Saccharomyces cerevisiae S288C: one gene and its partner. The main gene of each other region encodes a partner of the protein of the gene in region 2 in a complex. Each region holds a gene or a part of one and is shown on either strand. Other genes may lie near its edges.

Evidence for each region. Proteins that work in one complex are often made in the same cells at the same time.
Region 1: RPL36A (region 2) and RPL11B share a complex: the UniProt entries of both Saccharomyces cerevisiae proteins name them as parts of the large ribosomal subunit.

What each region holds. Positions count from the first base shown.
Region 1 is NC_001139.9:647,883-650,907, forward strand, and holds RPL11B (60S ribosomal protein uL5 RPL11B), read right to left. Parts: upstream 1,026-3,025; coding exon 501-1,025; downstream 1-500. Other genes in the region: mitochondrial 37S ribosomal protein mS44 MRP13, read right to left, coding at 1-260; lipid-binding protein PIL1, read right to left, coding at 1,716-2,735. UniProt on the Saccharomyces cerevisiae protein: Component of the ribosome, a large ribonucleoprotein complex responsible for the synthesis of proteins in the cell.
Region 2 is NC_001145.3:649,503-656,962, reverse strand, and holds RPL36A (60S ribosomal protein eL36 RPL36A), read right to left. Parts: upstream 5,819-7,460; coding exon 5,803-5,818; intron 5,340-5,802; coding exon 5,053-5,339; downstream 1-5,052. Other genes in the region: YMR196W (uncharacterized protein), read right to left, coding at 1-1,887; ICY1 (Icy1p), read right to left, coding at 2,546-2,929; CMC4 (Cmc4p), read left to right, coding at 4,076-4,115, 4,188-4,369; mitochondrial 54S ribosomal protein bL28m MRPL24, read right to left, coding at 6,151-6,927. UniProt on the Saccharomyces cerevisiae protein: Component of the ribosome, a large ribonucleoprotein complex responsible for the synthesis of proteins in the cell.

The DNA of each region.
Region 1 (3,025 bases), on a different chromosome or scaffold from region 2:
GGTTCCCTTGTTTTTGGATCCCTAATATCTTTAGTTAACAATATCTGAGCATTCTTGGGACGGTAAATGAATGGTTTTAGTTTCGCATCTGTCTTGTGGTATATCAAGAATTCATCCAGCTTTGCTTTCGCAATTTCGCCGGTAGATGCAAAACGTCTCCAAACTGTACTTCTGAACATTTTCTTGTTGGTCGTTGCTCGGTGCAATGCCCTTATCAACAGTATTGGTCCCTCATTAATCACCACTGTTATGGTTCCCATTTTCTTAATAAGAAAGGTTTAGCTTTTTTTCAGCACATTTTCTATTACCCTGCATGGTGAGTATCAAATAAGTGCCAATAAATTGGGTATGAATACAACTAAATACATTGACAAAGTGTTCACAACGCATCGAAGCGCTAGACTTGCAAATGTGATGAGGATATATGATATTTTTGGGATATTTTATTTGTTCTTATATATTAAGTAGTTGATGTTGTCACTGACTATACCGAGACCAAATTATTTATCGAGCACATCAGCGTCGTACTTTTGCTTGAACCAAGAGACGGTGTCTTCCTTAGTTGTCTTGTGGGAGTTACCAACAGTACCCTTACATCTCTTTCTTCTAGTGACTCTAGCACCTGGTCTGTTCATGACGACATAGAAATCCATACCGAAAATACCGATGGATGGGTCATACTTGATACCCAAGTCAATGTGTTCGTCAATACCGAAACCGAAGTTACCGGTAGCAGAGAAGTTTCTGTCTCTCAATTGGTATTCCTTGACCTTCAAACCTCTTTCCAAAATTTCTTCAGCCTTTGGACCTCTGACGGTAACGTGAACAGCAATTTTTTCGTTTCTTCTGATACCGAAAGTTCTGACAGTGTATCTGGCCTTGGATTGAACTGGAGTTTGACCAGATAATTGTTCTAAAACCTTGGAGGCTCTGGTTAATCTGTCACCAGATTCACCAACGGAGATGTTCAAGACCAATTTCTCGATCTTCAAATCACGCATAGGGTTTTGGGCTTTAGTAGACATCTTGGACGCGTATTTTTGTATATGTTGGGCTTTCAAGGGTAACTGATGCTAAACGTTATAATACACGAAATGAATGCCTCTCTTAACAGTATACTTCTTTAATGATGAGTTATGTCCAAGTTTCAATTTGGTATCCTAGCTTCGCTATTCGCAGAGCGGGTTCCAAAAGATCTTCGGATAAAAATAAAAAGAAGGCGGTGAAAACAAAAAGAATATTAAAAAAAGTAATGTATGGGTTCTCGTTGTACGGATGTTTAAAATGTCCTGAAAAATACCAATTAGACGGTTCTGTGCTTGTTATATATAGATGTCTATACGACTCAACATATGTATGTTGCTGCATTTTAGAAAAAAATTAGGCATTAAACATTAGGCTACACAGGAAATAATGTTTCCTATCAAAAGAGTTCTAACTTGAATTGTTCCTTCACAATTAAAAAAAATAAAAGAGTACATATTTAGGAGGGGGAAGAGATATTGATAATAGACTAAAGTAAGGAGTGAGGAGAGGGCAAAATACAATAATAGATGAAAAAAAAAATAGGAAAATAAAACAATTTTTTCAGAGTGAGGGAACAGAAATGATTATCTGTCCACGCATTAATTAAAAGAGATTAATTAGTATGGTAACTTGTTCTTTTCTGCTGGTTTTTTTTTTTTTGTTTCTAATAGATTGTTGATTTATTTTGATTAAGCTGTTGTTTGTTGGGGAAGAGACTCACTTTGCTGGTGTCCGACTTGTTCATGTTCTTCAACAGCACCTTCTTCTTCTTGTTCAGGTTCTTCAATTTGTCCATCTTCTTGTTCGTCTTCGGACCACCTGCCTTGACCGTCTTCCTCTTCCTCTTCTTCGCCTTCTTCAGGTTCGAAGTCTTCGTAATCCTGCTTGAAACTTAAAGTAGGCTTGACTTGGGCAGAGTCTAGTGTCCATTCATTCAGTGCGCTTTCAGCATCAATAATGATTTGTTTAGAGGCTTCATACCCATCGTAAGCAGGCCTGGTTTCACCTGGAGTGACAGGAGAGTCGTCCAATAGTTCCAAGAGAGCCTTACCGTAACCAGCGATTAAAGCAATTTTCTCTGAATGTTCGATGATGGAGTCAAATTGGTAGTTGAAAGCAGCTCTCAACTTTGACCTTGTGATATTAGATAATTGAGCTTCAGCGACCAAAGATTCAGCCTCAGCACGCACCAATTCTTGTTCCAAGACCTCAATCTTAGGTGATTGAGGATCTTTGTATTTCAAGTAGGCGATTTTGTCGGTGATCTTGTCCTTACGGTCTCTAGATGGTTGAACAGAACCTTCGATATCTCTGATGGACTTTAGAGTCAATCTGTATTGGTCATAACGATCGATAAATTGGTCGTCTAATTCACTAACTTCATAGATCAAGACACCTAATTTATCAGTGATGTCGGAAACATCGTCATCGTTTTCCAACCCCCAAATAGACAATTGCTTAGCAGCGTCACGTCTTTCGTTGGCTGTCAATTCCATGGACCTCAAAACATTCTTTTCAATCTTAACCAATTGAGACAACTTTCTGGATAATTCTGGGCCAAAAGCTCCAGCAGCACTTCTCCTAAAGCTGTAAGCTAGACCACCCTTCCCAAAGAATCTACCTTTGGTTGTAGATGGTGGTGGCGGTGGGTTCTGTAATTGAGAGGCGGTAGGTGCCCTGGAATTTCTTAAAGAGTAAGTTCTGTGCATACTATATACTTGATGCTGATATATTCTTCACTTTGCAATACTGCTAACAATGGAAAAGTATAGGTAAATAAATGTGCAGATGCAGATGTGAGACAAATTTTCTTTCTTGGGTTGGGATAATCAACGCATTGTACCCAAACGACGGGAAACAAGGAAGGATGCAGAATGAGCACTTGTTATTTATAAAAAGACACGGGAGGGGGAATCCCGTCTTTCGTCCGTCGGAGCCAAAGAGATGAGCCAAAGCAGAAAAACAGGGGACGCCGCCCTTCTTCCGTCCCGTGCGTGAG
Region 2 (7,460 bases):
GAGCTCTAATGCAATATTTAGCATTTGAAGGCTGAAAAAGGCCATCCAACCTGTAGAATCAGCCTGTTCAAGCGTACCGCCAGTGGGTAGTGGTTCTGATCTGTTGAAAACGCCAATATTATCAAGACCCAAAAATCCGCCCTCAAAAACATTTTTACCTTCAGTATCCTTTCTGTTGACCCACCATGTAAAATTTAACAAAAGCTTCTGGAAAACTCGTTCTAAAAATGTACGATCTTCACGGTTGTACATGTTTCTTTCGATCTTGAAAACACGATACACAGCCCATGCATGGACTGGTGGATTTACGTCATTGAAGTTCCATTCGTATGCCGGAATTTGACCGTTAGGATGCATGTACCACTCTCTGGTTAATAAATCCAATTGCCGTTTTGCAAATTCTGGATCAATCATAGCTAAAGGAATGCAGTGAAACGCAGTATCCCATGAAGCAAAAAATGGATACTCCCATTTGTCGGGCATTGATAAGATATCTTCGATGTAAAGGTGCTTCCAGTTCTTGTTCCTGCCATTAGCTCTATTAGGGGGAGGGCGAGGCTTAACATTGGCGTCACCATTATACCAAGCATCATATGTAAAATTGTAGAACTGTTTAGTCCATAGCAAACCAGAAAAAGCTTGTCTTTGAAGGTTTCTTAATTCATCACTGATTGGCAAAGGTGTAATCCTCCAGTAGAAGTTATCAGCTTCCTCCTCTCTGTTATCGAAAATCAAATCAAACTCATCTTCATCTACGACAGCCAGGTTTTGTGCCTTAAAGATAGAGTTTTTTGGGTCATTTGTAAATTTGTATCTCACAGTAACATACTCTCCGGGCGGAATATTTTTGAAGTGATATACTGCGCAGGCCTTTGTTCCTTTATTTTCAGGATTTACAGCATCGGTTTTGCCTTGAACAAGATATTCTTCAAAAGCATCCTTTGTGTACTCGGAAGGATTCTTTTCTTCGTTAAATAGTTTTACTAAATTGGACTCATTATCGGTAAATAGCAGCAGAGGATCTATATCTTCTACCTCTTTATCTTCCTCTTCCTCGTTTGTACCGGAAGAGAACCCACCTGGAGATGGCTGAAAGACCATTTGGCAATTACCATATTTCTTGTGAGTCATATTGATTAAGTTCGCTGCTTCTGCATCTCTTTCAAGCAAGGGCTTGTCCTTTGTTCTAGTACCGTCAAAAGCCCAAGTATTTCTGAAGAAAAGTTGGGGAGCTATGTAGAGCTCACCAGAGTCGATTTTACTTCGATTATGTATAGTTAGCCGAAAGTTCAGTTCACTAGGGTTTTCGTCATCCTTTGCCATTTCAAAAAAAACATCGAAATAAGGGTTGTCACCGGTTTCACTATCACGGTATAGCCCATCTATATCGTAAACTTCGAATTCTTTATCCTCGTATCCCCTTTCACCATTCTTTTGCACCAATTCTTTGTATGGAAAGGCCTTTTTAAAGGGATACTTGTATAAAGCTTTCATATATGAATGAGTGGGAGTATTGTCCAGGTAAAAGTACAATTCCTTAACATCCTCACCATGGTTCCCTTGTGGCCCAGTCAACCCGAACAACCTTTCCTTCAATCTTTCATCTTTACCGTTCCACAGAGCGACATTCATACACACCAATTGTTTGTTATCTGAGACACCAAATAATCCATCTTCACCCCAACGGAATACTCTTGCATTGGCATGTTCGAAAGGAAAATTGCTCCAAGCATCACCGTTTAAAGAATAATCTTCACGGACTGTCGCCCAGCTTCTTTCACTCAAGTAGGGACCCCAACGATACCAGTATTTCTCATGATTTCGATTTTCACGCAATCTTTCTTCTTCTACTGTAGAATCTACAAATTTGTCTCTTAGCTTGTTCATTGTTGCTGTTTAGACTTGCTATCTCTTACCAATACAAGGTCTTAACACTAGTAAAAGAATACTTGACAAGACTCTTTAGTTGCACTTTAGAAATTTGGAGGTGCTGAGAAAGCGGTGGATACCAAGGTACGATCGTATAGTATATATATATATATATATTACAGTGTTATCAAACAGGTTTTCTTGGCTTGCCGCTTTTGATCTGGGTTAGCCCCGCAAGATGATGTTTTACCCCTTATTTTTGATCTAGCCTTTTTTTTGTTCAATTGGATCTGAATCGCTAAAGATTTAAACTAAAGAAAGAAGAAGACAGGATAACAATCAATGGATACAACAAATAGGGGCATTCGGAGACACAGAGTATCCATTTTATTTTCTTTTTTCTTCCGGTAGCTGGTCTTACACTTATTCTTGTCAGCAGACGGTGCGCCGCCACTCCCATTGTAACTCTTGTGATGAGCTCTCCTTTCAATGGAAAAGGAACATCACGTGAAGCGAACGCGTATGAAGAGGAAATCAGTTAGTTGATGTTTGTATGGGAATATTGTCTGTTGGAAGTTTATAGAAACAATAATGCGTGTGTATTTATGTATGTTGAGTGCATATATATGTAGGTAGATTGTTTTTTTCTTTTGATTATCATTCCTTAATCGTTATTCTAAAATGAAGACAGCCACAATCTGTAGTTTTGTTGGGCGGCATTGGCATAAAGATCGGTCAATTTATCACACGACTGGGTAGTTTTGGCCGCGACGGCCATGCGACAATCCTGGACGTTATTCATGGCTTGGTGTTTGTAGTTGTTTTCTTGAGGGTTATCTAACGAGAACACAGTCTCGTCCGAGGCAGAACTTGTGTTCAAATCGAACTTCCCGGTGTCTCTCGGTACCACGAAAGGACCATTCAAATTATTATATTTGGCATCTTCCGAAGTATTGAGTGAATAATGCTCACCAAGTGACACATGCTCGGTAAATTGATAATTGGCAAAAGATAAGGGAAACACCTCATCGTCTAAAGGAGTGGCATAGTTTGAAGACATTTCTTGGTTTTATTGTATGTGTTATATGAGAAATTCAATTCTCCTTGTCATTAGTTTGTCTATCTATATATATTAACAAACAGGCTAGTGCTGAATGACTACGGAAAACAAATATTACATGCAAAAATTTTTGACAATAATGAGTAAGAGGCACATGCACTAGAGCATAAAAATTATGAACGTGTCTAGCTACATATATATCAATTAAATTAGTCTATCCGCGTAGCCAAGAAAACGATAACAAAGGGTACTTTACCCACTTGAAGGTGTCATTAACGCTGGTATGATAACCCGCTATCAAGCTGCATAATCTTTCTCCTACTATGCGCGTCTTTTGTTTTCATTTCACGGAATGACTCTTCCGCGGAGATTGGGCCGCGCCAGAAAATTTTTTTTCATCCGCTTCAGTCATTTCTGTCTGTTTTCTGTGCGCACTCTACGCTGATCGCTTGCGGCGGTAAAATTCCCCTGATATCCACCAAGGTGCTGAAAATCGAGCTACGGGGCGCTCTTGGTACGGGAATGGCAACAGAAAGAGCAGCTAGCTCGAACAGCCAGCTCTTTTTGAGGGGGGTAACACGTATGCTGGCAAAGGGCACAGGGTCTTATTACCCCTCCTTTGGTACGGTGGTCACCACAGTAGCAGAAGCGCTCGGATCATCGCTTCCACGTCATGCCCACGTTTCGTTTCCATGCGGAAAAATGCCCTCCTTAACATGACCACTTTGGGGGTTTTTGTATATTGTTTCTTAATTGCTGATTTGTGCAGTATCCTATCGTTCGTTCTTCACCCCTCCCCTTAAACCTTGCTAGCGTTTTGATATTTTTTGTTTCCTGTCACGTTCAATACTACAAATTACACATCTCAATCGGAATCGCGGGCGCAGAGTTTTTCCGATGTTGCCCGTCGCTAATATTTGGCGACTTTTGCACGTGAACGACGTCCCCACAATAAATTTCGCAAGGAGCGGGCGTGCGTTGTTAACGTCATCCGTTAGCGAGACTTTTACGGATATTACTTTTCACCCATGGGGTGTATATGAGAGTTCAGAAGAGGGTGTGGAGAGACAGAATATTACTGTTCTTTTTTTCCAAGATATTGAGCGTTTTTTTAGTTGTTGAGATTTGTTCAAATAAGAGGTAAATATGTCTAATCCATGCCAGAAGGAGGCCTGCGCCATCCAAGGTTTGTAATATTAACTTCAAAAGATTCGATCGTTTTTTTCTTTTCACTAACGTTTTTTCACATTAATTTTAGATTGCCTTCTATCACATCAGTACGATGATGCTAAATGCGCTAAAGTTATAGATCAGCTGTACATCTGCTGCTCAAAATTTTACAATGACAATGGAAAAGATTCACGGTCACCCTGCTGTCCGCTACCTTCGCTTCTTGAGTTGAAGATGAAACAGCGAAAGCTTACACCAGGGGACAGTTGAGGCTTCCAATTGGCCCTTCTTTCTACGTATGTATGAACTAGCAATTGAAAAAAAAAAAAAGGTATGTGCGTGAAGAGAATCTAATCATAAGTACATTATTCGTACTTCCAGGGAAGATCCACTCACTTTCTTTATGAAAAAGAAATATATTTATCTAAGATCAACCGCGAGCACGACAGTGAAATAGTATTAGTACTCCACCGTATAGTAAACGATTAAGTAAACTATATACGTCCACCGCCTAAAAAAACTGTCGAAACAGAATCTCTAAAACCAAGACGAATCGTGACTCTGGGTGTCTATTATAAAAGACATTATTACCCTTTTTCAAAAAACCAAAAAAAGGAAAAGAAAAGATTTTTTAAATACCAATAAAGATTCTTGCACCACAGGAACTTCTTCTAAACTCACCGCTTTATATACCAGAAAAAGATATAACGGTACGAAGAAAAAATAATATTCATACTTTTCGGGTAACACTTATATTGCTTCAGAAAAAAAATGTAGGGTTGGTAACGACTATCAGCTCAGTACATGGGCTTTTTGCATGGCTAGTGGTACTTTACTCTAGGCCCTCTCATGTGTGAAAGTATTGGTGGTTTTTTTTTTGGTGTTATTTTTTCCTAAGTTAAAAAGAAAATATGATATCTATATATATATTACAAAAATCAGTTTTTAGAAACTTAGTGACGACGAGAAGCAGCAATGATGTTGTTCATTTCTTCGACCTTAGCCTTGGCTCTGGTGAAAGAACCCAATCTCTTCTTGGCGACCTTTCTAGCTCTCTTTTCACCAGAGTTTCTTATTAGATCAATCAATCTTCTTTCGTATGGAGACAAACCAGCGATTTCTCTGACCAAAGATCTTACGAACTTGGTTCTGTTGGAAGCAGCACCTTTCTTGTAAGAGATTTTTGGAGCTGGGGTCATGCTAGTGACCTTCTTACCTTTGTTTAAACCAATAGCAATTCCTAAATATAAGGACACAGGTTGTCTTCAGTTAGTAACATGTGAAATAGGCATACATATACACGTGTATATGTGTCGGCGGGAAGTGACGTATAATGTACGGCTTTGTATAGCATCTTTTTGTGATTGTTTTCCATGGCAATTCTTACAATGGTGCAACTACTAAAATGTTCCATTTGAAGGCGTTTTCGCAATACTATTCTTTTTGTAAAATGGACCTCATCTTCAAACACAATAGTTTTTTAGATAGGAGTGAAGAGATAAGCCTGTGTATGCATATTAAATGGTATTTTTCCTCTGGCTATTTCCATTGGTCATTAATCACTCAAAATTATATAATATTCTTGTTTTTGTTTCCTTTTAAGTTTTCAATGCACTCATGTTCTTCTCGTATTTGGGGTAAACCCCTTTATAAGTTCGAAAATCGTCATAACCCGTTCAGTTCCTTGTTTATGTCTCACATACCTGTCTTAACGGTCATTTCTTATTGTGTTTGCTGTCTTTCTTGTTTCTTTGATACTTGTAAATCAGTACTATACTGTTCAACATCCTGAAATCTCTGATTTCAAATAAATTTCATAGGAGCGGAGGCTTCCATTCAGTTGGAATTTAACTTCAAAAAAAAACTGTGAAATGTACGGGTGTAAAACAGTCTAAAAAATGAATTGCCAATTAATGTAGCAAGCATATACGCATCAATAATGTTCAGAATGTGTGCATACCTACATATGTACAAACAGATATGCTTTTTTATATACAGGGGAAAACCAACGATATTTTCGGAATGGCAATTATCTTCTTTATTTCTTCCTTTTATACGGTGATGGTGGATAAGTCGAATTTATGATCCTCTAATCTAGCTAGGATATCCTTGACTGGAACGTCGGCAAATAACTCGACAAATTTTTTGTAGTTCAGGTCCTTCCCTACTGACCTATATTCCAATTTCTCTAAAGGATATAAAAATGACATCAATCTTCTTCTTCCAACTGATATTTTTCTTGGTGAGCCGTTTACTATTTCATCATAGTAAATTTTGGCCTTTTTACCACCAGCCATTTCTATGATAGGTGCATCCTTATGTGGGGGATTCTCTATTTCATCTTTTCTTTTTAAAACCCTATAACGAAGCTTCCATCCGGTCGGCCCTAATTCTTTTATTCTTGCAGATTTTTCCTTTGTTAAATAGTTGTCAATCCCTCCTTCTTTACTGATTGTTTTTAAAACTTTAGCGGTCATTTTGATACTGATTTTTCTGTTCAGAGTCTCACTCCAGAGACCTTTTTTGACAACATTTGGCAACCACTTCTTCCTCGTTTTGGCTTTACTTTCAGAAATATTGTTACCAAACTGAACGAAAGATCCACCATATAGACCTTTGTTACTCTGTTTGAAGATATTAGATTCCCCATACTTGTAATCTGGAAATTTCTTTCTTTCTTTTGGCATATGTAAAGGTTTAGCATCACCAACTTGGTAGTTCGGTTGTTTGGCAATCTTCCTTGTTTCAATCAGTCTCCATTGCCTGAAGTTTTTTACGGAAGAGGTAAAGCCTCTCGTTAATTGGAATGGTCTGAAAATTTTTTGCATATTCTTCTGTGAGCTTTTTCTTCCTTAAACTGATTTTTCTATACCCCTGGGCACTAACTTCTAATAGCTCTAGCTGATCAGCTGTTTTTGGTTTCTCAAATGAATTTCACAAAGCGTGCCCGGATGCGAGAATACGAGATTATTTAATTAAATATAATTGCAGAAAGAGAAGAAGGAAACGTACTAAGCTCAATTTGTCCACAGTATAATCAACAAAATTGCACATTTAATTGTTTTTACTAAAAGTTTAGGAAACCGTTGTCACGATGTAATTAAAATTCTTGAATTCTTGATATGAAGGCTCTTTTCATGATGTGCCACATGAGTACAGCCGATATTTGAGAAACGTAGAATAAAATAAAACGTTAAACGCCAAGATATTTACTGTTGCAAAGTTTAGAATGGTATGGAAAGGGTTACTGTTAACTGCTAACTCGAGTATATATTGTCACGATTGTGGTTCATTATTTCTGCTAGAAGTAATGCTTACTAACAATTTCTCGGTCTTATTTATATCCTAAACACTCTCCTTT